Sus scrofa: one gene and its partners. The protein of the gene in region 2 interacts with the protein of the main gene of each other region in a pairwise test. Links are inferred from orthologs where the notes say so. Each region holds a gene or a part of one and is shown on either strand. Other genes may lie near its edges.

Evidence for each region.
Region 1: the proteins of TK1 (region 2) and SETDB1 interact in a two-hybrid assay, tested with the Homo sapiens proteins (2 studies listed by BioGRID and IntAct). The link is inferred for Sus scrofa from reciprocal best matches to the Homo sapiens genes TK1 and SETDB1.
Region 3: the proteins of TK1 (region 2) and LRIF1 interact in a two-hybrid assay, tested with the Homo sapiens proteins (2 studies listed by BioGRID and IntAct). The link is inferred for Sus scrofa from reciprocal best matches to the Homo sapiens genes TK1 and LRIF1.
Region 4: the proteins of TK1 (region 2) and APLP1 interact in a two-hybrid assay, tested with the Homo sapiens proteins (2 studies listed by BioGRID and IntAct). The link is inferred for Sus scrofa from reciprocal best matches to the Homo sapiens genes TK1 and APLP1.
Region 5: the proteins of TK1 (region 2) and tubulin beta-2A chain interact in a two-hybrid assay, tested with the Homo sapiens proteins (2 studies listed by BioGRID and IntAct). The link is inferred for Sus scrofa from reciprocal best matches to the Homo sapiens genes TK1 and TUBB2A.
Region 6: the proteins of TK1 (region 2) and GAPDH interact in a two-hybrid assay, tested with the Homo sapiens proteins (2 studies listed by BioGRID and IntAct). The link is inferred for Sus scrofa from reciprocal best matches to the Homo sapiens genes TK1 and GAPDH.
Region 7: the proteins of TK1 (region 2) and RBM48 interact in a two-hybrid assay, tested with the Homo sapiens proteins (2 studies listed by BioGRID and IntAct). The link is inferred for Sus scrofa from reciprocal best matches to the Homo sapiens genes TK1 and RBM48.

The regions. Positions count from the first base shown.
Region 1 is NC_010446.5:98,276,239-98,279,738, forward strand, and holds part of SETDB1 (histone-lysine N-methyltransferase SETDB1), read right to left. Parts: intron 3,404-3,500; coding exon 3,304-3,403; intron 2,697-3,303; coding exon 2,571-2,696; intron 2,405-2,570; coding exon 2,203-2,404; intron 1,644-2,202; coding exon 1,570-1,643; intron 542-1,569; coding exon 351-541; intron 1-350. UniProt on the Homo sapiens protein: Histone methyltransferase that specifically trimethylates 'Lys-9' of histone H3. H3 'Lys-9' trimethylation represents a specific tag for epigenetic transcriptional repression by recruiting HP1 (CBX1, CBX3 and/or CBX5) proteins to methylated histones.
Region 2 is NC_010454.4:3,792,161-3,795,324, reverse strand, and holds the end of TK1 (thymidine kinase, cytosolic), read right to left. Parts: intron 1,740-3,164; coding exon 1,650-1,739; intron 1,443-1,649; coding exon 1,323-1,442; intron 1,231-1,322; coding exon 1,054-1,230; 3' UTR 501-1,053; downstream 1-500. UniProt on the Homo sapiens protein: Cell-cycle-regulated enzyme of importance in nucleotide metabolism. Catalyzes the first enzymatic step in the salvage pathway converting thymidine into thymidine monophosphate.
Region 3 is NC_010446.5:109,270,253-109,274,365, reverse strand, and holds the start of LRIF1 (ligand-dependent nuclear receptor-interacting factor 1), read right to left. Parts: upstream 2,801-4,113; 5' UTR 2,205-2,800; coding exon 2,137-2,204; intron 1-2,136. UniProt on the Homo sapiens protein: Together with SMCHD1, involved in chromosome X inactivation in females by promoting the compaction of heterochromatin.
Region 4 is NC_010448.4:45,292,225-45,295,724, reverse strand, and holds the end of APLP1 (amyloid-like protein 1), read right to left. Parts: intron 2,930-3,500; coding exon 2,830-2,929; intron 2,116-2,829; coding exon 2,008-2,115; intron 1,750-2,007; coding exon 1,723-1,749; intron 1,541-1,722; coding exon 1,470-1,540; intron 1,235-1,469; coding exon 1,172-1,234; intron 1,041-1,171; coding exon 897-1,040; intron 799-896; coding exon 700-798; 3' UTR 376-699; downstream 1-375. UniProt on the Homo sapiens protein: May play a role in postsynaptic function. The C-terminal gamma-secretase processed fragment, ALID1, activates transcription activation through APBB1 (Fe65) binding. Couples to JIP signal transduction through C-terminal binding.
Region 5 is NC_010449.5:1,911,869-1,915,824, forward strand, and holds the start of tubulin beta-2A chain, read right to left. Parts: upstream 2,801-3,956; 5' UTR 2,692-2,800; coding exon 2,635-2,691; intron 1,168-2,634; coding exon 1,059-1,167; intron 754-1,058; coding exon 643-753; intron 1-642. UniProt on the Homo sapiens protein: Tubulin is the major constituent of microtubules, a cylinder consisting of laterally associated linear protofilaments composed of alpha- and beta-tubulin heterodimers.
Region 6 is NC_010447.5:64,131,221-64,135,463, forward strand, and holds the start of GAPDH (glyceraldehyde-3-phosphate dehydrogenase), read right to left. Parts: upstream 2,801-4,243; 5' UTR 2,719-2,800; intron 2,446-2,718; 5' UTR 2,428-2,445; coding exon 2,405-2,427; exon of another isoform or gene 2,312-2,404; coding exon of another isoform or gene 2,259-2,311; exon of another isoform or gene 631-2,258; coding exon 531-630; intron 452-530; coding exon 345-451; intron 224-344; coding exon 133-223; exon of another isoform or gene 7-132; coding exon 1-6. UniProt on the Homo sapiens protein: Has both glyceraldehyde-3-phosphate dehydrogenase and nitrosylase activities, thereby playing a role in glycolysis and nuclear functions, respectively.
Region 7 is NC_010451.4:72,443,423-72,447,610, reverse strand, and holds the start of RBM48 (RNA-binding protein 48), read right to left. Parts: upstream 2,801-4,188; coding exon 2,657-2,800; intron 2,120-2,656; coding exon 1,929-2,119; intron 1-1,928. Other genes in the region: PEX1 (peroxisome biogenesis factor 1), read left to right, coding at 2,995-3,243. UniProt on the Homo sapiens protein: As a component of the minor spliceosome, involved in the splicing of U12-type introns in pre-mRNAs.

The DNA of each region.
Region 1 (3,500 bases), on a different chromosome or scaffold from region 2:
AAACAGTGAGAAAAGGTAAGAGGATAAGAAAGAGGGAAAAATATGGCACAGCTACAAAATCATCCTATTACTATTTTTTTGTCTTTTCAGGGCCACACCTACAGCTCATGGAGGTTCTCAGGCTAGGGGTCGAATTGAAGCTGTAGCTGCTGGCCTACGCCACAGCCACAACAACGCCAGATCCAAGCGACCTCTGCAACCTACACCACAGCTCACGGCAATGCTGGGTCCTTAACCCACAGAGGGAGGCCAGAGATCAAACCTGCGTCCTCACGTCCTTATTATTGTTGCCTTGTGCTCCTCCATCCCACCCAGACCCCTGCCTCCAAAACTCTTCAGAAGAAGAGTACCAGGAAGAGGATCCTGACTAGGCTGCCGTCCACCTCCTCGACTCGGGACTTCCACCATGTGCCTTCCCACTCAGTCTTGATGAGCTGGCCACTCTTGAGCAGCACCATGGGGCGGTTGGGGTAAGCAGTGATATACTCCTCTATGAAGTCTCGGCAGGAGATGTCTTCTATGTCCTCCCAAGTCTTTTTCACTGTCCCAAGGAAGAAGCAAGGCTGAGAGAGGGCAGGTAGGGCATGTCTTGATAGGAAAAAATAGTTGGCAAGGAGATATTTGGTATTTTTCAAGTTGAGAGGGAGAGAAAAAATAAATGAAGAAATCATAATCTCAAGGGAAGCAAAACCAAGACCACCTGAAATGTAATACACTTATTGTGTAAAAGCACATGCAAATTAAGTAAATACCAAATAAGCAATATGCAAACATAGGTGGGTCACTTGTTTTCACAAAAATGGATGTTTCTTCTTAGGAAAAGTCAAATGGAAATTCTTGCTAACTTGATAAGCCTAAAGGTAAATCAAAAAAGAATCAGGCAGCACCATGAATTAAAAAAAAAAAAAACAACGAAAAACAAAAACTGCCCTTTCTTCTCAAGCTCTATCAGGTTTTTCAGACCCTGAATGTATTTATGCATGTTATGTGGAAACATAGACATGTTAGCTGACTCTTCTACAATTAAAAACAGTTGCTTCAGCAAGAGTCTCTCCCAAGCTAGAGTCATAAGTATAGAGGACACCCCATCTAACACAGCTTCTCTAGAAAGCACCATGCAGACTACAGGTTTATATAAATGTTAGATTAAGCATGAGACTAGAGAAGTAACATTTTCTCAAACCTAAATCACTTAGAAATGAAATCAAAACACTTCTACAATATGAACATCCACTCAAGGTCAGTCATGATTTTCTAAAGTCTCACTCTTTGGCTGCAAAGACCCAGCACTAGAGGTGAGCAAATAAAACTGTATTTCTCAAAGGATGTTAATCAAACTTAGGCTCTTTGAGACTAAAGCACCCAAAACATTAGAGCATGTGGCAGTTCCTGGGCCAAGGATGGAACCTGCCACAGCAGCGACCCAAGCCACTGCAGTAACAACGCCAGATCCTTATCCCACTGCGGCACATGAGAACCCTGGGCTTTTTAGTTAATTGTCTTAAGAAGAAATACAAGGTAGAGAAGGAAATGGAAAGAACTAATAAGGAAGAAAGGAGGGACACTCACGTGGCCGGCAAATGGGATACAGTTCAGACTCGGTAACATAGGAAGCGTAGCCATCATCAAAGAAAATGAGAAACCTGAACGGAAAGAGTGATGGTAGAAAGATCAGAGGTTATGATTTTTAACACGACCTAAAGAAATTATCTGATCATAGCTTCTACTCCTCTGGATTATAAACAGGACACACTCCAGGGAAGATGTTCCAGTGAAATACTTTCTTCTAGCATTCTTTCCTCCCATCCCGAGTTAAGAATTCTCCCTTAAGCTTACCAACATATCCCCACTTTCTCAAAAGCTATTTGGTCTTGTTATACTAACAGATTTCTACACTGCTGAAAAACATTTAGTCTCCATTTTTTTCCTTCTATATGAATTCTCTATTCCCCTAACCATTAATCAATCTTGATTATTCTCCACCTACTGAGTTTTCTTCTTGAGAAAAGGGAAAAAAAGGGGGGGAAGTGGTGAGAAAGAATCACCACCCAACATGACTCCTGTGGCAAAGAAAGAGAAAGGTTTTCTGGCCACTGGGGACTAAGAAGGCAAAAGCTAATTGTGAGATCTGGACTATGGCTTGAACAGGGCAGGTGCTGTGCTCTTGGCTTCTCCTCTCTTTACATTCCTCTGTCCAGGTACCTGTTCTTGTTTTTGACGTTTGGTGTCTCAGCTACAATGCCAGCATAGAGCCAGACCTGATTCCCATCTTTGTATTTGGCCACTACTCGACTGCCCACATACAGCTTGTCAACAGGAGGGTGGTGGTCATAGGCAATATGGTTCCCTGACAGTAGACTCTTTCCTTTGTTGTCAAATTTCACCTTGTACTTCTTTCCTGGCCCTGAGTAAAAGAGAAAGATAAACAAAGTTTTTAAAAACCATAAGTTTCCGTGTGAATTCGGGTTGCTATGTGAGACACAAAAGGCAAGACTGTTGGGGAAAGAAACAATCAGCAATGGAGACCTGCAGGTTGTCTTTCATTAGTTCTTCCTCTAGCTTGAACATACCAACTGTCTGGATGGCAATAAGGGTGCCTTTGTGCCATGTCTTAGTTCTCTTCTTGCCCAGTATGCGCATGCCGACTGTCAGGTCACCATCTTTGGTCAACTCTCCAGTCATCTGACTCAAGGTTCCTAGGAAAAAAATCAACGTTGTTCTAAAGAGATATAGCATAGACTGGAGAGAGAATGGAAAAATAAAGAGGGTACTTGGTTACTGTGGCAAATTGGGTAACCTTTGATCCACAGCCACTTTTACTGCTGTCTTGGTCAAGGGCAAAAATATATGACACAGCCGACTGGACTGTTTATACTAACAGGAAAAACTTGAATAACTGAATGTAATTCAAGAACATCTCATTTTAACCAAATAATTCAAACTCCTTATTAATAACATTACCCCTCATTAAATGTCAAATAACATTTATAAAACATTTTCCTGAGAGAGATCTCTTAACAGCACCATTCTACAAAGCTTTGCCACACCTCTTTTTAAGAGTTTTGAGTCACTGTCTTCTCTCTAACCTGCACCTGGAAGAAGAGATCATAAACATGGAGCTAAAACGGTATTTGGAAACCGAGCAGACAAAAGACTTAAGTAGATAGCAAGGAAAACCTGTGGTGTTAAAAGAACTCAAGAGAGGTGAAGGATTCTGAAATGCCAAAACAAAACCAGTCACCCATGAAATCTCTGTAGGAATTCATGACCCCTCCCTATACTTAGGAACCTCTTGACCCTAACCTTTGTGAAGATCCTGGGAACTGCTCTTCTTGTTGACGGCATCCATGAACTTCTGGACATCTTGAGCCGACTTTCTTAAGGCAGCCATAGCTTCACGAAGCTGTAATGAAGGGGATGAGGGAAATAAATTTTAAAATAGCACGGGCTAAAAACAGTTTGTGAATAAGAATTTTTCTTTTTCTGACTGCAGCAGCTTG
Region 2 (3,164 bases):
GTTTGGGAATCAGTCTGACCCTTGCACTGCACCTCTGGAACCTGGGACCAAGCAGAGCCAAGGGGGAGGGAGCAGCCGGGAGGATGGGGAGCCTGGCACCCCCTGCGGTGCAGCCTCGCCTCCACACAAGCCGCCCACAGCCCGGTTTTCCGAGGCACAGCAGAGCTGGGCTTCTTGGCTCCTGGACTGTCAAGTGTCTGTTCACAAACTCTGGCCTCGCAGCACGAGCTGGCAGCACGGACCAAAGCCTCATCTTTCCAGCCTGGGCCCCGGGCTCCATCTACCCTTCTTGTCTGGATGCCCAACCAGACAGAAGAGCCAGGAAAGCTTCTCTGGACACGCCTCATGGCCGTCTCTCAGCCAAAACCGGTTGCGGCGAAGAGACAGCGGAACTAGAAAAAGAACTGGAGAGAAATCCCCGCACCCGAATCACGTCAGCGCTCTCCGCGGCGAGGCCCGGGAAGCCCCAGGCGGTTTGAGAATGTGCTCTCACCACACAGTAACTTTTCCAGGTGGTTATTCATGGCAGAGAACTTGACAGAAGGCCACAGCCCTTCCCTAAAAGAGGAGCCCTGGGAGCTGAGCCCCGGAAGGGCTTGCAGGCCACAGGGAAGTGAGAGTGCCCCAGTCTGGCTGTCCTCAGAGGGGCTCAGTCTGTGTGCGCGAGAGGCTCGGTGCCAGCCAGAGGTGGGGGCTCGGGCTTCCCAGCAAGAACAGAAACTCGGCAGCCAAAGCCACAAAGGGGGAAGAGGCCAGCAGCACCCCTGTCAGCGGCTGTGGCTCCAGCCTCACCCCGGGGGAGCGGAGGGGACGTCTGCCGGGGCCAGACCCCTCGCCACGGAGCTGCCAGCTCCGGCCTGGGGCGGCCTGTGAGCAGCGGCCCAGCAGCGGGGACGGGAACTGAGAGAGGCCAGCGGGCGGCCCAGGAGGGAAGTGTGCCGAGCAGACCGCCGGCCTCGGCCGGAAGGGCGGGCAGCTCCTGGTGCTGGACAACCGCCCCCGCTTCCTCCTGGGGCGCAGGCGGCCTCCGGGGCTCAGCGGCGGGCCGGCGCCTCAGTTGGCCTGGCTGCACTGCAGGAGCTGATGGGGGCCGAACAGCCTCCTGACGCCCAGCGCCAGGCCGTTCTCTCTGTTCTCCTTGCTGTCCAGCCCGATGGGCAGCCCTGTCTTCTTGAAGTAGCAGAGGCGGCACACGGAGTGGTACTTGTCCGCTCCTCCGATCACCTCGACCTGGACACGGGACACCAGGTGCCTGGACTGAGGGGGGCGCGGCGGCCCCCGCCCCGCCCGCCCGCGCCCCCGGGAGAAGGCAGGGCAGCTACCTCTTTCTCCACGCCCAGCCTCTTGGTGTAGGCGGCCTCCCGGAAGCACTCCATGCACACGGCCGTCAGCTTCACCACGCTCTCGGCCAGGGGCACCAGGTTCAAGATGCTCCCGAAAGCCTGCGGTCCCACCAGAGACGGGCGCTCTCAGCTCGCCCTTTCCCGGAAAGGCTGCCTCCCAGCACGGAAGCCAGGGACCGAGGCCCTGCCCTGGCCTTCCCCAGAGCCCGGCGCCTGCAGCCGGCGGACCCGGTCCGCGGCCCCAGGAGCCCGTCTCTGCACGGCCCCGGCCCCCCGCCTCCCGGGTCCCAGGCCCGGACGCCTTACCTTCCTCTGGAAGGTCCCGTCCAAGGCGGCCACAATCACGGTCTTGCCTTCGTTGGCCATGGTCTCGCTGAACTCCACGATGTCAGGGAACTGGGGGCGGGAGAGGGGGTGAGGACAGCTCCCGCCTGGGCAGCAGCTTCCGGGAGCCACAGAGAAGGTGCTGCCGGACCCGACAGCTCCGGGCACCCAGTCGGCGGGGAGCGCGAGACCTGGGCAGCCCCAGCCCCTTGCCCGGCGCACAGCTGCATGTCCCCAGCAGACCCAGGCCCCCCTCCAGGTCAAGAACCCGGACCTGTCACCAGGGTGACGCAGCCCGGCTAGAAAGGCGGTCTGCCACTGCAGTGTCAACAGCTTGGACCAGAGGCTGCCTTGGGCTTGAACCATGGTCACCCGTTAGCTGTGACCTGGGCAATGACTTCAGATTCCCGAGCCTGGAAAAGACAGGGAGGGCTTTGGGGGGGGTTAAGGATTAAAGACCCTCAAATAATTTATTCTCTTTGGCTGAGAGGTAGGCTGTGTGCCTGCCACTTAAAACCCAACAAAAAACAATGTGCCATGCGATGCCTTGAGAAGGGGTGGCAGTTCCACGGTCCCGGCACACCCTTCTAAATGCAGGGTCTGCAGCAGGCCGCTTAGTTGGTGACTCAAATTTCATTTCAAGTGGCCCAGGGTGAGGCTGCTTAAAACCCTTTGGTGGATTTTCACTGGTCATCATCTGTCGAGACGGACCTGTGGGTTGGGTGAAGTGGGGATTATTCTTGCCTAGAGGGTCTTTCTCCAAGCCACCCAGGCCTCACTCAGCCGGATGTTCGAGAAGTTACCAAGACAGGACCAGGAGAGGCGTTAGAAACCCCTCTATGCAGCGGGATCCACTGAAGCCAGAGCTGACCGCCCCCTGGCAGGGCTGGAGGGGCCTGAGCTCTGGAACGGCCGCCCCCACCCAGAGGCTCCAGCTGACCCTGCCCCAGGCGGTTCTTTTTCTCTGAAGGACTCGGGTCACAGAAATGCAGCCCCCACCTACAAGGAGCTGTCAGTAAGTGCCCCCCGACCAGCTGTCACAAAACTGTTTCCAGACATTGCCAGATACCCACTGCGGCGGGGGTGGGAGAGGAACGAATCCCCTGCACTCCCCCTCCCTGCTGAGGCCTCGTCAAGAGGCAGGTCCTTCCACACCAGGGTCTGGGGACCTCGGAGGGTCCTTGGCTTCACCTGTGGTCAGAGCACTCAGCTCTTCCACCCGGACTTTGTCCCCTGTTCACACGCCCCCCTCCCCAACACCGACCCTGGGCCCCCAGCAGGGGTTCCTGGGTGATCGAAGGTAAGGACAGAGCTGCCTGGGTTTTCTGCAAAATCTCAAGATGCCCACGGGTAACCATGTTGCTGGCGTTGGATTTTATTGCCATTCATTTTTAGGTTACATTTTGGGTTGAGTTGTGTCCCTCTCACACCTCAAATCCATGTTGAAACCCTAATCCCCAGCACCCGAGTGCGACCTTATTTGGAGAGGGTCTTTGC
Region 3 (4,113 bases), on a different chromosome or scaffold from region 2:
CCAACAAAAAACATACATGTACAAAATCTGGCTCTTGTTACAATCTGAAATACAATGCTTCCTTCTTGGCAGTTCTTCAATAATGGCTTTATCTCACCACTTTTGGTGACTGTTTCTTTTCTTTTTTTGGCTTTTTAGGGCCCCACCTGTGACATATGGAGGTTCCCAGGCTAGGGGTCCAATCAGAGCTGTAGCCACGGGCCTATGCCACAGCCACAGCAACATCAGATCCGAGCAGCATCTGCAACCTACACCACAGCTCACAGGAACACCGGATCTTTAACCCACTGAGCAAGGCCAGGGATTCGAACCTGCAGCCTCATGGTTCCTAGTCAGATTCATTTCTGCTGCGCCACACGGGAACTCCTCAACTGTTTCTTTTTAGAATATTATGCAAGTTTTTAAAAGTGTTTATTACAATTAGGGTTTCTTGTTGTTGTGGGTTTTTTTTGTTTTTTTTGTTTTTTGTTTTTTGTCTTTTTGCCTTTTCTAGGGCTGCTCCCACAGCATATGAAGGTTCCCAGGCTAGGGGTCTAATCGGAACTGTAGCCGCCAGCCTACGCCAGAGCCACAGCAACGTGGGATCCCAGTGGTGTCTGCAACCTACACCGCAGCTCATGGCAACGCAGGATCCTTAATCCACTGAGCAAGGCCAGGGATCTAACCCGCAACCTCATGGTTCCTAGTCGGATTTGTTAACCACTGGGCCACGATGTAAACTCCTTGTTGTTGTTTTCGCTTCCTTTTTTTTTTCTCCCTTTTTTTTTTTCTTTATAGGGCCATACCCGTGGTATATGGAAGTTCCCAGGCTAGGGGTCCAATTGGAGCTGCCAGCCTACACCACAGCCACAGCAATGCCACATCCAGGCCGTGTCTGTGACCTACAAGGCAGCTCACGGCCCAATTACGTTTTGCATCTACTTGTATCTACTTACTTCCTGGGCTAAAATTTGTACAGAAAGAAAAGTTGTGATCTTATGATAATAATACATAACTAACATTTAAATAATGCTCTTACATTTTAAGTATTTTAGTATATTCATTCTTTTATCCTTAAAATACCCTCAGGTGGTTTTATTGGCCAACTGAAAACCAAGTCACTTGGCCTCACAAATAGTTAACCAGCAAAGCGAGGATTAAACTTAGCAAGCCTGGTTTTCTTCAAACATAAATGCTCTTCCATGATTTTTATCTCCTTCTCCATGTTTCTTCTTCACATGTTCCTTCTGCAGAGACTCATTAGCTTTCCTCTCACCATTTATTATATACCCACAAACCAGGCAGATTACAACTCAAAATATTCTACCTTAGCTAACAATTTTGTTCCAGCTTCATTTCATCTTGATTAATATAGGCTTAAAAAACTACTGAGTTAGTGATAAACCATTGTCTAAATTTACAAATAAGTGTCCTTCTAAGAAATGCTGGACTCTCCCCTTCAAACGTAGTTCCTCTACGTATACATCCGATTCGAGATGGCATTCTCAATACACCTGCTTCAAATACTGCTGTTCCAAAAGGTTGATTTTACATGATAATTTCTCTATTTTTACTTCTCTTTATCTTCAAATAAAACTAGTATTCGAAAATTTAAAAAATCGATTCCCTTATTCCAGAACAATTTTTCAGGTTCTATATTCATATACTTTTGTCAATTACACAAAAATAAAAGCCTTCCCTTCTCACTAACTCTCTTTAATTACAGCTATTTTCCCTGAAGGTCCAGCGCAACCCGTGCTGCACTTGCTAATCCGCGCTGACGGCTGCGTGTTTTTCTGCGAGTGCGCGAGAATCTTCCAGATGATGTGGGTCACACAGGAGCGCCGGCCATGTTGATTTTCCTCTCCTGTGGAGATCTACTCAGTCAGCCTATGAAACTTCAGGCGCTGGAGGGCTGCGGAGCCAAGGCAGAGGCTGTCTGTGTCACAGACTCTCTAGAGGGTTTATGTTTCCAAGAGGGAGCGGCTCTAAGGGCTCTAAAAGCCGAAGCGCCGCGCACTCCCCCTAGAGTGCTCACCCGGCGGGATCAAAGGCATCTGAACTGCAGAACGTCAGGAAACGGCGGCCGACTCCACATCCTGCTAAGAGACGGGCGAGGGGCGGGTGTGTCGCCGGAGATTCGAAACCGGTACTTACCAATGCGAGGCGCTGCCTGACTTTTCCTCTGCAGATTTCAGGAAGACCCTCCGTAGGTTATTGGACATTTTAGAGGGGTGGGAGGGGCCAGTACGTCCAGGAAAGGGGGCAGTATATGGGGGTCGAGGTCTCCAAGGGCCGAGAACCAGAGCGACAGAATGTTTGGCTGGAGTTGCGCCTGAGCAACTCAGGGGGGCTTGAAGCAGAAAGGAGGGCGACAACAGGCTCCCGAGAGGGCGTATCCTCAGGCTTCGGAGGGAGGCGGCGCAGCCACCAGAAACCGGAAGAACCGAAGTGACTTACGGGGTGGGACCGGCACTAGCCTCTAAGAGAACAAGCCCGAGTCTCCGCCCCGTTAGAGCCTAGGACTTCGCTCCGCAGGCATCCGGAATCAGGCGGGAGGCGTGGCCTTAATGGCACCGCCTCTGTCGGTGCCGAGCCTCTGATGAAGATCAGCCGGACCGTCTCGGCCGACCCCGCCCACCGAAGCCGCCAGCGGGAGCAAAGCTGGCCTGGCGGTTTCCGGCACCGTCACATCCTGTTGCCAAGGTGACTGGCTCGCTAAGGCCCCGCCTTTATGCTATGACCCAATCACAGGTGACATTTGCTATGTCTCCTTCCGGATCAAGTAACGAATCGCAAAAGAAAATTCTCCAGATATCTACGCAAAATAAAATGTTTCCGGGGTCAGTCGTAAATTTTCTGCTTTTATATTCGCCGTTGGTGCAAGTTTTCCTCTCCTACCAGATTTAAAAGCTAACAGAAGGCTCGTTTGGAGACATACGCATTCTTTGCGTAAGAGAATTTTAGACGCCTGCCTATGGCCAGCGCCCGTATTATTGCTACTTCCTGAGGGTTTCTCGATTTTATCCGCTTTCTTCAGTCTTTGCCTCGAGACTTATCCTCCCCTTGCCCTCCACCCCATCCTTATACCTCACGCGAAATTATTATCGTAGGTTTTCAGTCTCAAAAAATTTAATTGCCCACATAGGCTTATTTTTTGCATCTTTATCTGGATCCCTGGATAAAAATTTCTCATAAGTTTTTCTAAGAAGTCAAATCAGCTATCCAAGAAGTGGTTTAAGTCTCAGGTTTAAGAGGTAGACATTCTAATTTAGCTGGGGCTAGACGGAAGTTGTGGGAGGAGTGCTTTAGAAGATCCAGTTTTATCAGCTATAGGCAGTAAGGATGTAAACTGACTCATACTGTTAAAATTTGGGAAACTGACATAAAGTAGCCAAGTTCCAGGTTTATTTTTGTCCCTTAAAAATGAAGGTTACTCATTCTCCTAACTCCTTAATGAGCTAATACTGATGAAAGATCTTGTCCTGATATAGAAAGTAATACTTATTGTTTACTCTTTAGTAAAAGTTAATTTTACTGATACCGAATCCTGTATGTCTAACTGGCATTTATCTTTCATTCCGATATCTCAGTACTAGGAGTCAGGGTGGTGAGCCCGTAATACTGTCTTTTTTTTTTTTCTTTTTTTTTCTTCCTTTCTGTCACGCACATGGCATGCGGAAGTTCCTGGGTCAGGGATTGAACCAACACCACAGCAAAAACAAAAGCTGCTGCAGTGACAATGCAGGATCTTTAACTGCTGTACCATGGGAGAACTCTCCTTACACTGTCTTGGTTTTGGTCATATTTCTGTCTGTGAACGCAAAATTACTTGAATGAGTTGCCCATTCTTGGCTTGTTCAATTTTCTCACTATTCATTTCTTACTTTGCAGTTTGGCTTGTCCTCACATACATCAGCACTTCTTATAAATGAGTTTCATTGTCGCTTATTGGCTTCCCTTGGAAGCGGAATCTTGAGATATAATTTGATGTACAGGAAGTTTATTAGGGATCAGTGTGGAAGGGAAGAAAAGGGAGCAAAATTGGGCAGAGGGAAAAGTTAGCTTGTGATACACAGTCTCAACAAAATCTTATGTTTTTGCACCAGGAATCTGCTGAGATTTTTCTTTGCA
Region 4 (3,500 bases), on a different chromosome or scaffold from region 2:
GAACCATGAGGTTGTGGGTTCGATCCCTGCCCTTTCTCAGTGGGTTAAGGATCTGGCCTTGCCTGAGTTGTGGTGTAGGTTGCAAATGCGGCTCGGATCCGCGTTGCTGTGGCTCTGGCATAGGCCGGAAGCTCCGATTGGACCCCCAGCCTGGGAACCTCAATATGCCACGGTAAGCAGCCCTAAAAAGACAAAAAAAAAAAAAAAAAAAAAGAAGTCAGCACCACGGAAAGCTCCTGGCCAAGAGGCTGGCTTTCTAGACCCCGCCCCTCTGAAGAGCCTGCCCAGATTTAAAGATCTCTCTACAGTTTAAAAGGGCAGATTCGCACACCAACGTGCAGAGCTGCTCACACACAGAGACGCAGGATGGCCTGGTGGGGAAGAGGACTTTTATTGGGATGTTAGTGGGGGACTCCAGGGAACAACAAACACTAGGACCAAGCTTAAGGGACAATAAATTAACATACAAAACAAATTAAGCTGAGGAGGTCCCCAGTGGGGAGGCGGCTGGGACTACCTGGGGGTTTCTTAGGGATGGAATTTGGAATTGGAAAGGGGAAATAAGAATTTCCAGCCTCCTCACAATAAGTGTGAAATGAAGTTTTTCCAGACCCCCTCCCTCCAGGCTGGGAGTCGGGGTTCTGGGGCTCCAGGAAGAGGGAAGGTTTGGGCTCAGCCGAAGGGGTGAAGGGGGCTGGTTCAGGGTCGTTCCTCCAGGAAGCGGTAGGTGGGGTTCTCGTAGCCATGACGCTGCAGTTCACGAAGCTGCTGCTCCTCCAGGGTCAGCATGGGGTCCACCTGCAGTAGGGGCAGGGGACAAGGGGGCATAGATCTCACAGCCCCGCCACGCCCAGGCCCTGGAACTCCTCCCCAGTCCAGGTCTTTGTGCCTCTCACCTCAACCACCCCGTGGCTGATGGCCCCGTAGGGCTTCTTCCTGCGCAAGAGCAGCAAGGAGAGGACAATCAGGGAGCCCCCACCTGCTCCCATGATCAGCAGACCGGACACGGCCTCTCGGGACACGCCTGTCCCGGCTGGGGCCTGTAGGGAGAGGAGATGCGACCAGGGTCATCTTTGAGGCTCACCAGGGCTCTGTGGTGGCTTTGGGAGTCACAACCTAGTCACTGACCTCCGACCCTCCCCCTAGGTACCCAGAATATTCCTCCTCTTACCAGCTCATCCCTCTGAATCTCCGATGAGTGGAAAGGAAAACCCCTTGGAACCGACATGTTCACCTGCGGGAGCAGGAGGTGTCAGGGACCCAGGAGTCAGGGCCCCCGACTCCTCCTCCCCTGGGCCCCAAGAGGGCACCCCCCCTTCCAGCCTTATTCTTCCCTAGGACCCCAAAGTCCATATCCTCAGTCCCTTCTCCCCTCAGGCCACAGAATCCCAACCCCTCCCACCCACCTCCTTCAGCCCAGGCCCCCTCTGGTCCTCCCTCAGGCGCCTGTGCAGTTCTGATTGACTGACCTTTCGATCGTACTGCTCCTGGGGGGTCGGCTTCTCTTTTCCAGAGGATGCAGCATCTTGTTCTGTGGACCCTGCCCCCCGAATCCTATCTCATTCCTCACAGCCACCCCCGCCTGAGGAGGGGGTCAGAAGGGGCACCGGACCCCCCCCCCTTCAGCAGGCCTGGGGGTCCCAGGGTACAGGTCCTTTTCCATTCTAGGCTCAAGGACTCAGAGGGGTTTGATGGCAGGGGGCTGCTCTGTGAGGCACTCACCTTTTGGAAGGGCCACGGGGGTGTCTGCTGGCAGCCAGAGGAGGCAAGAGGGGTGGAACAGTGAAGGGAGGGGAGCATCACTGAGGAGGCTGAGGGGAGACCCTCTCCCAGAGGCCAAGCAAGGAGGACCAAGGACCCCACAGAGTCCTCCCAACCTCACTGCTCCCTTCCACCCTCTCTCTCTTACTGTGGTGGCTAAGACACCTCCAGACTTTACGGGATGAGAATTGAGCCCAGGGGCCTGTGTCCCAAAGTCCAGGATTGTCTCAGTCTGGGTTAACGCACCATCCTTGGCGTCCAGAGGCTGCAGCCCACTCTTGTCCTCACTGCTGCCCCCCGGGGCGGGGGCTTCCAATTCACTGGGACCCAGGTGTTCAGAGCGGAGGAGTTCCTCTGGGGGGAGCACGCAGAAAGGTGAGCATAGGGAGCCATGGAACAGAACTGGGTGGATGGATGGCGCCCTAACAGAAGGGTGGGGGGGGTAGCCACCCATGGGATCTAGGGAAGCGGGGAGCTGAATGGACAAAGATGGAGGTGGAAGCTCAAGGGAATGGCCTCCTTAATGAGCAGGAGGATTAGGGTTGAGCATGGGACCTCCATCCAGGAGGAAGCCACAATAGACCTGGGGGCTGTGGTGGGTCACACTTTCTGATATTTATGCTCTTGTGTAGGCCCTGTTGCTTGAATCTAGACTGGGTTTATGACTTGCTTTAGCCAACAGAATGCGGGCACAAGCCTTAAGAAGGCCTGGCAGTTCCCACTTTTGTGCTTGGGGGAGCCTGAACCACACATAGGAAGTCCAGGTGCCCCGCTAGAGAGACCATATGGAAAGGCTCCATGGAGAAGAGAGGCCCTGAGTCTCCACGGAGAGGAAGAGAGGCTCATGTGTCCCAGAGTCCCAGACCCTAGCTGATCCGCTAGCCAGACATAACTACATGCTTGACTAGTGACAAGACCAGCAGAACCCGGACCTGCCAGCAGAATCGTGAGGAAAGAAAATGGGTGATTTAAGGCACTAAGTTCTGGGGTTTGTTACACAGAGAGAGAGGTAACTGAAGTGGCCGGGGGGGTGAGCCAAAGGCTGGGGGTCAGGACTTGGGTACTCACGGATCTGGGGCCGCAGCTCCTGGGCCAGGAGGGGGTTCTGGTCAAGCAGCCCCAGGCTCTGATTCATCCGTTCCTCGATGACTTGAAGGTGGGTCTGCACCTGTGGGGGAGCGAGTATGACGGATGAACTGAGCCGTGTAGGCTGGAGATGGGGAAACCGAGGCAGGGGGAAGGAGGAAGGTTCATAGGGTCCAAGGAAAAGTAGCAGATACAATGGATGGGAAACAGGGTATGAGGACCAGGAATTGGGCCACAGAAGGAAGGAAACGGGAGGGGAAGCAGGATGCAAAGAAAAGATGTACAGAAGACAGGAAGTGGGAGTCTTGGCAAAGAAGGTGGGGAGGAGGAAAAGCTGCAGTTGTTAGGAAAGGTGGGGCCCAGGAGACAAGGTGAGTAGAGGGTACGAGGAAGATGGTATAAAAGTTAGGAAATGGAGGGAGGTGGGCTGGAGGGGCAGGAAGGAGGGTCTGAGGAACAGAAAGTGAAGTTTGAAGGGGTTCTGGAAGAGGAAGTGGGATTGGAGGGTCCCTTGGAAATGAGGAGGTTCAAGGGCAGGACTTGGCATCACGAGCATTGAACGGAGTATCCTTGGGCAGCAAGAGAACATCCCAGAAACGAATTAGGATCTGAATGCACAGAACAAGGCTTTCAGGGAGAGCACGTGGGGTTAG
Region 5 (3,956 bases), on a different chromosome or scaffold from region 2:
TGGTAATGGCAAATTCTCTCATTTTACCTCTGGACCTGTTTTAGAGATGACAGATTCTTCGCTTTTAGAGCCTCTCTTTATCTACAGAAAAATTTTCCATATATGATCCTCAAAAAACACTAAGGATCTAATAAAACAAAAAGGGAGTTTAGTACATTTGAGATTATTAAGATTGTTAATTTTAAAACAGTTGTGTTTTGTTAAACTAAGAACCTTCTGTAAATAGTTAACTCAGCGACAGTGACCAGGCAGGCAGAACCGGCTCTCGGCCGCAGTCTTGGCGCCTGCCCGTCACCTGGGCCTCGGGCCTGGGCCTCTAGAAGCACTTGCTTCTCACTGCTTCTCTCGAAGGACCAGCCACCTGCTCTGGGAAGCTCTCCTTGGCTCTTCCTTCCAAGCCCCTCCCAGGCTGCTCTGGGGGCGGGGCCGAGGCAGCCCCTGCAGGTGACCCGGCCTTTGGGCTGCACTGAGAGGGGCTGGACGAGGGGCAGCTCCGGGCCCGGGGCCGTGACGTCAGGGCCGAGGGCTCCCTGTGGACACACGGTGTCCACCTCGGCCTTGAGCCGGGAGAGCTGTGAGCCCCACGGGGCTGGGGAGGAAGGAGACCCGCGGAGCCAGCGCCCAGGGGTCGTGGCTACGTACCGAACACAAAGTTGTCGGGCCTGAAGATCTGGCCGAAGGGTCCAGACCTGACCGAGTCCATGGTGCCCGGCTCCAGATCCACCAGGATGGCCCGGGGCACATACTTGTTACCTGTGGGGACAGAGCTGGCCTTAGACCTGCGGTTGGCCGAGGAGGCCCGGACGACGCCCTGCCCTGTGCGCCTTTGGCGGCAGAATTCACCCCAGAAGGTGCCAGCCCGAGGCACCGGGGGAGCTGCGAGGAGGTTTCTGCTCTACGAGGGGGCTGATGGCTTTGCTCGGTCGTGACAAGCATGCAGGGGCCTTAGGACGTGTGCTCCCGAGCAGCGGGCGCTCAGGGTGGAGGCGGGCAGGACGGACGTGGCGTCCCCCCAGAACAGAAAGCAAGCGGAGGGGCCCCCGGGTCCCAGCAGTCACCAGCGGCTTCATTGTAGTACACGTTGATCCTCTCCAGCTGCAAGTCGCTGTCGCCATGGTAACTGCCAGTGGGGTCGATGCCATGCTCGTCGCTGATGACCTCCCAAAACTGGGGAGAAAAGGGGAACCACGTGATGGCCTGGCATCCTAGGTGCCGGTAAGGCGGGCCCTTTGCGTCCTCACGTCCTTGCCGCAGGGGCGTGTGGGCTGACAGTCGAGGTGTCCTAGACAGACTGCCAGCTGCCCGCCCCGTTCCTCCAGCGGCTGCTGCTCAGGGCTTGGGAATCCGCAGGGCATGAGCCATAATATGGCGACAGACTGAGGAGCCGGGAGGGGCCCGAAGGAGGGGGGGTGGGCACAGCAGACGCCCTTCCAGGGGAATCGTGGGTGCTGGGGAGGCCGCCACCCCCGGGCAGGGCTGCGTGTCAGCCTGGTGGAGGATGGACGGGTCCTGGCAGGACCCAGGACCATTGGGACCCCGCCCTGTGGCTGCCTGCAGGCATCCCTGTCTCCTGGCACAGATGGGACCCAGCCCCCCAGCAGCGCAGCTCAGCTCTGACATCTGCACTGCCCTCAGCAGCGGCAGCAGCAGGATGGCGGGGAGGGGCGGGCAGAGCTGGGGGCCCCCCTGGGGGCAGTGGCCGGAGCTGGCGAAGGTGAGGGTGCAGGCTGCATCATGAATTTGCAGCAGGGAAGGGGCGGGAGCCCGGGGTGGGCAATATGGCGGCCCTGAGAGAGCCCACGTCCTTGGGCAGGCGCCCGCCCACCCCCATGCACCAAGCCGCCGGGCCTCGCCCACGGCGGGCGCCAGCCACAGCTCCGGACGGCCACCTGCCGCCTCGCAGACGGAATCAGACTCAGACGTTATATGTCATCCCGTCTAGATGGTGCTGGCATAGAGAGATCTAACCTCGCCTGTGGGGCCCAGGAGAGTTCTCCACAACATCTGTCACCCAATGACACTGCATTTTTTTCATTCAAGCTATAGACAAGATACACGAATTAAATTCCACACGGTCCCTGGATTAATGTGACAGCAGCCCCTAGCCAACGCTCAGAGGGCATTCTACCAGGGAAATAGCAACCCCGTCCCGCAGAAGGGCCGGGTCAGAGGAAATTTCAAAGGGCCTTGATTAAAGGCACACACAGCTGCGTGGCCAAGCGCATCGGGGCAGGTTGTGTGGTTCCTGGGCCCCGCCCGGCGAGCGCGCGCGCCGAGAACGCGCCATCCGGGCTGCCGCCCGCTCCCCAGCCCCTCTCGGGCCCCAGGGTGCTCCCTGGGGGTCCGCCACCCTCTCCTGACCCCTCCTCGGTCCTCACCCTGGGAACCCGGGCTCCTCTGAGCCCTCGCCCTTGGGACACGTCGCCCCCTCCCCTGCGCGCACCCTCGGGAACCGCCGGCCCCTCCCGGGCCCCGACGCGCACCCTGGGGACCCGCCACCCCCTCCTGACCCTCCCGTGGTCCTCAGCCTGTGGACCCGCGCCCCATCCCGGCCCTGCACACCGGGTTTCGCTGTCCCCTGCTCACAGCGCCCCCCCGCAGCGTACACTCTCGGGACCCGTCCCCGGCGCCCACCTTGGCGCCGATCTGGTTGCCGCACTGGCCCGCCTGGATGTGCACGATCTCGCGCATGATGCCGGCTGCGGAGCTGGTGGAAGCGCGGGCCCTGAATTGCGTGGGGCAGACCGGCAAACTCCGACGCAGAGACCTGCGGCCGCCCCTCGGCCGCGCCTTTTATAGCAGGGGCCCCGCCCCCCGCGCGGTGACGTCAGCGGGCGGGGCGCGGGGGCGGCGGGGCGGCGGGGACTGCGGCACCGCGAGGGGGAGCCGGGGCGCGGCGCGAGGTGCGGGCCGGGGTGGGCCGCGCTGGGCCTCGGGGCGGCGGCGCGCGCCCCTCGGAGCCGCAGCCCAGAATTTTCTCTGGAGTCTGCGGCGCTCCTCGGTTCCTTGCCTCCCGGCAGGGTCCTGAGTCCTGGACCTCGGGCTCTTTCTGGTCTGGGTGTAACGCCCGGGGCGGGCGCAGGGCGCAGAGAAGGGGGCCAGGCGAGGAGGGTAGGGTGGGGCCCTTTCGCCTCTGCCCCCCTAAGGAAGGTGCTGGGTTTGGCAGGGGCTAGGACGAGTGGGCGCTGGGTCTGTCTCATGTCAGCTTTGGGTGTGGGGTCCTTGTGAAGGCCGCGACACGTGGAAAATTCCGCGAACGTGCGTGGCGGAGAGACGATGTGCCAGCCAGGCGGCCGCCGAAGCGCGTGCGCCCTCCGCACGTTCTGTCACCTAATCCCCAGGGCTCCCTTTAGAGCTCGAAGTCCAGCTCCAGGCCATCCGGCACACGTGGCCATTGATCTCCTGAAACGTGGGAATCCGAGTTGAAATGTCCTTCATGTAAAATCCGCGTGGGACTTCGTAGGCCGAAGAAGTTGAAAGCACGTAAAGTAGTGCATAGCATTTTACATGCTGCAGTATTTACAGTGGCTACTGGAGAATTTTAACTCTCGCACTTCCGTCCTCCGGAAACGTGATGACCATCCCAGCCTCACGGCTTTGGGAAAAGAGGCTAAAGAGATGACCAGCTGCAGAGCTAGTAAGTGACCATGTCTCGCTTCCTTCTACAAAGAGAAAGCCCCGGTGAGTTGGAAAGGCTTGGTCAGGGTGAGGCAAGACCCAGCCTTAGTTACTGTCCCCGCCCATCCTGAGCAGGGGGCCAGGTGTGCAGGGCCCTGGGACTGCTCCTTTCCTCTCTGGGGCCAGTTTCTCCAGCTATAAAGTGGTGGTAATTACAGGTGCCCCGCAGCCAGCTTTGTGAGTCGGAAATGAGCAGCTCTATATGAAAGCGGGTCAAGTTTAAGGAGCAGCAATACCCCCATAAAATCTAAGGTGATGCTGTATTATAAATATTAAGC
Region 6 (4,243 bases), on a different chromosome or scaffold from region 2:
GTGAGCCTGCAGCAGAGGAGCAGTCAGACACCCGGGCTTCCCCTTTCCTGGTCCAAGTCAGCCTCCCCCAGTCTCCCCGCTACACCAACCCCGCGGTTAGGTCCCCTCCTCTTTCGGTTCCCTGCCGCTCACCCCGGCCTTCTCCATGGTCGTGAAGACACCAGTGGACTCCACAACATACGTAGCACCAGCATCACCCCATTTGATGTTGGCGGGATCTCGCCTAGAAGGGAAGACAGGACAAAGTTCAGGGGCGCGGGGGACCACAGACCCAAGGTGGTCACCCCGTCCCAGCACCACCTCCTCCAAGGCAAAGCTCTTCCGGTTCCGTCTTCCATACTTACTCCTGGAAGATGGTGATGGCCTTTCCATTGATGACAAGCTTCCCGTTCTCCGCCTTGACTGTGCCGTGGAACTTGCCGTGGGTGGAATCATACTGGAACATGTAGACCTGGGGGGGACGAGGGAGGGCATCAAGGGGCTGCGCCCTGGCAGGCTCTGTCCCCGCCCCCGCCACGGGGGCCACTCACCATGTAGTGGAGGTCAATGAAGGGGTCATTGATGGCGACAATGTCCACTTTGCCAGAGTTAAAAGCAGCCCTGGTGACCAGGCGCCCGATGCGGCCAAATCTGAGGGGGACAAGAGGCGAGGAGGGAGGAGTGAGCTCTCCTGGAGATGTAAGCAGTCCCAGGCCCACGCGCCCGCTGTCAGCGCGGGCACTTTCCTACCAGGAGATCTCATTTCCTCCTCCTCGCACAACCCTGCCAGACCAGCCTGGCTTCCCAGCACAGCCACAAAGTGAAAAGCTCCCATCCTGCCCAAGAGGTGATGAAGCTCCGAGACAGGCCCACACCCCCTGGTCATCTGAAATCTGTTAAGGGGTGACAGGGTGGTGCACTGCTGCTGCCACCTACAGTCTGGGCACATGGCCGGCACATGGCATTCCTCAGGCCCACTGTCGGTAAATGCTTGTTCCTATCTGGCCAGCTTCAGGCCACACCCTCTAGGGAGCAAAATCTTGCACACTTGGCATCACCCAGCTCAAAGGGCAAGAGCAAAGGTCAGAAGTTAACTGGCCAGGGAAACCCCCCCCCTTCCCCAAGTCCCTCCTACAAAAGGGAAAGCCGTTTCTCAAACCCAGAATCCCGGGCTTCTGATTTGTTAGGAACCTGTCTTTGTTAGCTCTTTTCCCAAAATCAGGAGTGGGAGCAATAGACGTGTGGGGAGCGGGGGGGAAGGAGAGGGAGAAGCCCAGGCCCCCAGCTGCAGAAAGGTCAGGCAGCTATATTTAACCCCAGCTTAGGGTGGAGTGGGGATCTGGTTTCTGGAAGAGGGGATGGGGAGAAGGGCAGGATTCCCGAGGCTCACGGACATCTAATCCTCCTGGTGACCTTTACAGCTTGGCCTTTAGGGTGGGGTCAACCCTAGGCATGGATGGAAGGAAGCAGCTTCAAGGAGCACTGATGCAGAGACAGGGGCTGCGGCTCCGCCGGCTCCGGGAGCCATTTTGTGGAAAATTTCTAAGTACCCATGACTCAGCTCCCCCGGCATGGCACCAAGCCAACGCTACCACACCTCTCCGGAGAAAGAGAAGGGAAACAACCCGGAAACAACCCAAGACCACCCCCATAAAGCCCCGTTTTTGATTCATCAGAGAACCATCCAGAAAAAGCATCCCCTCATCCCCGGGGGGGGGAATCTGGCTGGGGCTTGAAGGGATGCTCTAGGGTTAGTTTGCTAAGAGCTGAGGTCCAGCTGACTAAGAAGGGGAAAGCGTGGCCGGACCTGGGTTACCGGATAAAGGAGACTCCACCCCACGAGGCAGGGGTAGAAGGCTTAGTCATGGGCAAGTAAGGAGAAAGATTGAAGGACTCAGGAAGATTTCCTAACGGCGGTTCATTCATTTCCTTCCTAGTTGCAACATGGCGGCTAGGTTACCGCAGATGCCCCCTCCCAGCTGGTTCTGCACAGCAGCTGTGCCTCCTGCATCCCGGGGCTGCCCGGCTGGGGGCACTGGTTGCGGCTGGGGGGATGGGCTCCTCCCCTTCACGTGACCCCGCAGGGCGCGAAAGGAAAGAAAGAGCCCCAGCTGGGGGATTAGGGGATGGGGCCAAAGCAAGAATTGGAGACTCCAGGGCTGTGTATCTGCGGCAGGTGAAGAGGAAGGCTCCGCAGAGGCGGAGTTACAGAACGCGCAACAGCCAGGGATGGGGGACACGAGGCCTTGCGAGGGCCTCCTCCAGGTCCGAGCGCTGACCTTGAGTTCTCCTTGGGGGTGGGGTACGACCACCCCATCCAAGTCCCCCACATGCTTGCACAGACCCGGTAGGGCGAGACCTGCGGACGCAATTTGGTGGGGGCTGCAGTACTTACTGCCCCACCCTGCCCCACCCCCTAACTCACCCGTTCACTCCGACCTTCACCATCGTGTCTCAGGGACGCGGCTGCCGGCAGAGGAAAGAGAACATTAGATCGCGGGGCAAAGCGGCTGGAGCCCGACGGTGCCCTCCCCGCCCCTCCCCCAGGCCTCCATCCTCGCTCTGCTCTTCTGCACGTCCTTCCTCCCCCTCAACCCGCAATGCAGGGGCCCGGCCCGGCGCAGCCACAACTCCGGCTCCAGCCGGGGCCCCGCACCCACACTCCCAGACCGCGCACGGCCCCCGGTCCCTTTCGGACCAGTCCTCGAACCCTTGTGGCTCCACTCCGCCAGGCTTTACCTGGCAATGCACGGAACACACGGCTGTCTGTCGAACGGGGAGGAGCAGAGAGCGCAGGGGAAGGCTGCAGCCGGAATTTATAGGGCAGGGGGCGGGGCGGGGGCGGGGTGACGTGGGCTCGCCTCGCCCAGTCCTAGCTCCAGCAGCGGAGGCCTGAGCTACGTGCGCCCGTAAAGTCGCGAGTAGCCGACCCCCACTTCTTCTTTTTTTTTCCTTTGGACCCGCCTGGTTCTGCCAATGTGCACGCGCCACACAAGTGGGCTGAGGACGGAGAGGGGGAGGGGACCGGTGATGCTGCCTGGCCCGGTTGGGGTTGTACTGCAGGGGGCAGTGGACTAGGAGGAGGGGGCCCTGGCGAAAACTGAGGACACCCAAGGAGCCAGGGACGTTAAAGTTGCTGCAGGGATGTAACGGGAGGATATGGGGAGCCAGTGGGATGGGAAATTGGAGCGGAACCCGGGGTTGGGGGCGCGGCTCGCAGCTCGCGGCTGCAGTCTCCCCTACCCCCCCCCCTTCAAAAGCTGAGAAGCGGGAAGATTGAGGAACTTCTCGAGGCTCTTCGGTAGTGACCCAGGAACTACAGAGGAAAAGGCCCGGGAGGGGCCTCCAGCAAGGCCCTCTCCAGCCCCCTTCCCCTTTCCCCCCTCCCCTTCTCTTGGCTCCTGGCCTCCCCGGGCTGGGGACCGCGGCTGGCCCTGGCCAGTGGGAGGCCTGGAGAGGAAGGAGGCTCGGAAGGAGGCCTGAGAGGGAAGTTTCTGCACTGAAGGTCACGATGCCCTGCAGGACAGGCAGCCTGGACATCTGAGAATCGAGCAGACAAACCAGGACCTGTGTGCACCAGCTGCTCTCCCCCAGGCCCTGGCTGGCTGGGGCCTCAGCGAGGGGACAGGATCGCTTTGGGGGGCTGGCCAGGTAGAGGCTCAGAGGTCTCCCACAAAGTTGCTCCTGGGAAATTTGAGGGCTGAGCGGCCCGGGCTGGGAGACAATGTCCCTTTCACCCCATCCAGCCCTGGGCAGAGCAGGACGTGAGAGCGGAAGTCCCTCCCCATCCTGGGACGTGCAGGCCAGCCCTGCAGTCAGGGCCTCCCTTTCACTGGCTGCGCCCAGGGGATGTTGGGGGCAGGGTGAGGTGTCCATAAGAGGGAAAAGATTGGGAGGTCTTGGACACAGGGTGGGGACAAGGGCCCCTAGCCCCTTCCCAGACGTGATGTGGAGGAGGAAATCCATTCTTCTCCAAGACCAGTCCCTCAGAAGCTGGGGCTGGGCCAGGTTTGTGAGCAGAGGATGAAAGATGGGTTGGTTCTGAGGACTTGAAGTGTTGAAGGTTCAGGGAAGGTGGGGGGAGGGTGGAATGGACGTTGCCCATTAGCAGGTGCTGGTGGAAGGAATTGGGGCCTCTTTGCTGGCCCAGCGTAACCTGAGACCAGCCCCCTTTTCCAGCTGAAAAGCCTGTGGCTAAGTTTAGCCCGCAGGATGATAACCTTTGCTTAAAAGGCAGAGAGCACGCTGCCCCGCACCCCGACTC
Region 7 (4,188 bases), on a different chromosome or scaffold from region 2:
TTTGATCCCTGGCCTTGCTCAATGGGTTGGAGATCTGGCACTGTGAGCTGTGGTGTATATCGCAGACACAGCTGTGGTGTATATCGCAGATCCCGCCTTGCTGTGCCAGCAACTGTAGCTCCGATTCAACCCCTAGCCTAGGAACTTCTATGTGCCGCAGTGTGGCCCTAAAAAGCAAAAAAATAAATAAAAAGCAAAGTCCAGGTTTTGCCAAGTGTATATACATCTTATACTTAGGGAATAAGAATTTCTGCTTGTGGACAGCATGACTCTACTGATCCAGTGCCTACTCTTAGAGCCTTTCTTTCCCTCTCCCTAGTCTTAATAGGTTTCAAGTCATCCATACCTATCCAGACTCCCTTTAACCAATACTGGATCCAGCTGGTTGGCCTGAGGTACACAATCTGTGGTTATGAAATAGAGATTTTTCTCTATGTTAAATGGCTCTTGAGCGTTAGCTCATACTTATTTTAGCCTTTTTGGCACAATGTGTTCCTATAATGGGATTCATATTTAAGAAATTAATAAAATATTGAAATTGTAACATTCAATAATGGAGGAAATATTGAATATATAACAATCAATGAGAATGGTATTCATTCAACAAATAATTTTTAAACATCTGTGACTGGCCAGGAATTACTACAATAAATAAGCACTTCAGTGCCCAGGGAAAATGATAAATACTTACTGAGATTTTACCACATCCCAGGCAGTGACCAAAGTGCTTAAGTGCTTCTCTTGAATTAACACAACAACCCTCTGATGAAACTGAAGCCTAGAGAGATTTATAACTTGGCCATTCTCACATTAGCTTTTGGAGCTAAGATTCAAATCCAGATGTCACACTGCATGACCTACTGTACCAGGTGGAGTGAGAGATGCAAAACTCCTTAAAATACACAATGAGAAAATATCCCTAACCATGAGGAGCTGACAAATTGGTTAGGGTAGTGAGATTATATATAACGGCAACCTGAGAACAACACACGATGACATTAACCCAAGTGATTTATGGCAGAAAGACTACAAGGGCTATCTGTAGCACAGAAAAGAAAATATGAATTCTAACAGCCAAGAGAAGATGGGTCTTGGAGCCTATCAATAAGAATAGGAGTCAACATAAAAAGAGCCAAGGCCCCAAGTAGAAAGGAAGAAGAGGGTTAAATTGGGGATTTGGGATTAACAGCTACACACTACTATATGTAAAACAGATAAACAACAAGGACCTACTGGTTAGCACAGGGAACTCTATTCAATATCCTGCAATAACTTATAAAGGAAAATAATTTGAAAAGGAATGTGTGTGTGTATACACACACAAATAGGTATATGTGTGTGTGTGTGTATAACTGAAACACTTTGCTGTACACCTGAAAGGTTGTAAATCAACACTTTCATTTTTTAAAATGAGGGAAAAAAGAGATAGGGCATTTCGTACTTAATTGTTGGAGAAAATTTTATGTTATATAGAAGGAGATTCAATTACACAGGTCCATAAAATAAGAGATCCAATACCTAATGTTTACTGCCTTCTGAATAGAAGGCACTGTGCTAAGCCCTATACATGGATCCATGTCATCCTCACACAACCTCCGTAAGTAGGTCCTTTTACCATACTGGTGTCTAAAGAATAAGAAAACAGTCTTAATGGGGTCAAGTAACCTGTCCATGGTCATGATGTTAGTAAACAGTGAAACTTGAAAATTTACTCCCAAACCAATTTTTAATCTACCATACTACACACACAAAAAAATTGTTAAGCATGGGAATGACGTGATAGAAAGAGTTTGGTAGGGCTAACATTTAAAAAGACTAGAAGAATACAGGGTCATGTTAGTTACTGGGTAATTCAGAAATGAATGAGGGAGGCCAAATGTAGGCAACGGGAATGGAGAAAATGAGACACTGTTTAACTTGCATATTACCTTGCACTTTGTAAATTGAGAAATTTAATAAGATAAACTTCTGTAAAGTCTTCTGCTGGGTATTCATCTAGAGCATTATACTGTTCAATTGCACCATACAAAGCAAATCGCTCAACTAATTCCTTCATGGCTCCGACTGCAGGAACTCCTTGTATTAATAAGTACCGAGATTCCAAATTGATCGTGTAAACCTATAAGAAATCAGACACATTAAATGTATTTCACAAAGAAGCCTGGGACAAATCTAATCCTATATTTTTTTAAAGTTGAAAAAAACACCTTTCGACTGGTTTGCATAAAAACAGGAAATCTAAAAACTTGCCCCTCTCTCTACATAATGAATAGTTTACCCTTCTTGCAAAGGCCTTTAGCTAAAGCACGTAACATTATCTTCCATCAATGTGTTTTCCACAAATTAGCTCGGTAGAAGTTACAGGGACGAGTTAACAAGTATTCGCTGAGCGTTTACCATGTAACAAGGACCACTGTAAACACGGAAGATACAGTGACTGAAACACAGCCCTCTTCTCACGGAGCTGAGGTTCTAGCAGTAGACTAAAGAGCACTCAAGCATCTTTGGTACTTGAGTACCAGCGTTTTTCATATTCTTCTTCAGTTAATCGATGTGACCGCAGCCTCTCAAGATGTTATTTACGTAAGCTGGGCATGTGAAGCTGGAACTCACAGAAAGCTACCGGGGATAGCGATTGAAACCAAAGTCACTTTACCCTGACAGCGCGAGGGCGGCGCCCCTCTCGATACTTGGCCCGCGAGTCGCATACAGCCCTTTGGACGTGGTGATCGAATAAGCCTCCTAGCTGCCCGCCGCTCAACGCCATCTTGCCGGTGTTATCCCTCGCGAACGACAACATCCGCCCCGTTGCCCCACCGTTTACCCAATAAGAGAGAGGGGTGAGTTAAGGCGTTCCGAGATTGGCTGAAGAATCGACACCGTCGGCCATCGTTTCCTGTGAGCGAGGATTTGGTGAAGAACGTGTCGCCCCCCAGCGGCGCGGCGGAAAGGCCCTGAGAACAGGCGCAGGCGTGCTGGCCCCTCCCGCTCCGGATGCGCCGCGGGGCCTTAGGGGGCGGGGCCGATCGATCGTCTCCGGGTCCGACGCCCGCGACCTGCGGGGTTGGCCCGGGAAAGATAGGTTGGGCGGCTGGGGGTCGGTGCCTGCAGACAATGTGGGGCGGCGATCGCCTGGCGGGTGCTGGCGGAGGCGGGGCGGCCGTGACGGTGGCCTTCACCAACGCTCGCGACTGCTTCCTCCACTTGCCGCGGCGCCTTGTGGCCCAGCTACACCTGCTGCAGGTAAGGCGCCCGCTTGGTGCCGGGCTCTCACCACCGACTTGGGACAGCTGCTGGCCAGTCTGCGGTCGGCCGAGACCCAGGCCTTTTAGGGACGCAGCGGCCGCTCAGGCCTCTCCCGGCGGCGGGATTAGGGCTGCTTTCCCAGCCCCGCCGACCGGTTCAGAGGCCACACTGAGGACCCCTTGCGGGCAGGGCTGGCCTGGGCGCTCTTGACAGCCACATCACGTCTAGTGCAGCACGGCTTCTTTGAGTTGACCTGCTGTATTCCAGGTCTTTTACTCGCCGGAACTGGGCTTTGAAACGCCCCGATATTCTCCCTCTTCGTTCAACTATTCCTCACTCCAGGTTGGAAAAGCTCTTGAGAAGTCGGGTTTGTTTGTCTTTTGGGATTCTGTTCTGTTTTGTTTCATTATTAGAAAACGTTTTTCCTGCCAGCGATTTCCAGGTGCTTGCATGGCTGTGGTCCCGGCCTTCAGAAAGAGGGGCGGACTTGGTTTGTGAAGTCTCTATTGGTTAACAGAGGTGGAGCCCTGTGTCCCACGAGCGGGATAGATTAATATGAACCTTCTTCCTGTGTCTCCAAACACCTCCGGGGTGCTCCAGGAATGTGCTGTGGGAGTATGCATACTTGGTCATAGGTAGTTAGAATTCCTTGAACCTCTGTTTTCACTTGCGCTCTGCACCTTGTGGTTGTGGCGGTTCATAGCTCTAACACTTGCATGGTTACAGAGATGCAACATCTGTATTTTCCTAATTGTAAAGTGGAGACACCTGGTTTACGAGTTTGAGCGTGCTTGCTTAAGGGGCTAAAAGGATAGGCTGTTTGAAATCTTCGAAAATCCTGAATGCATAGTACCCACTGGTTTGCAGTAATTTCAACAGTTTGCAATAATTTCAAATATCTCCCTTTTCCATTTTAGCTACTTCTCTGTAACTCCTTTTCTA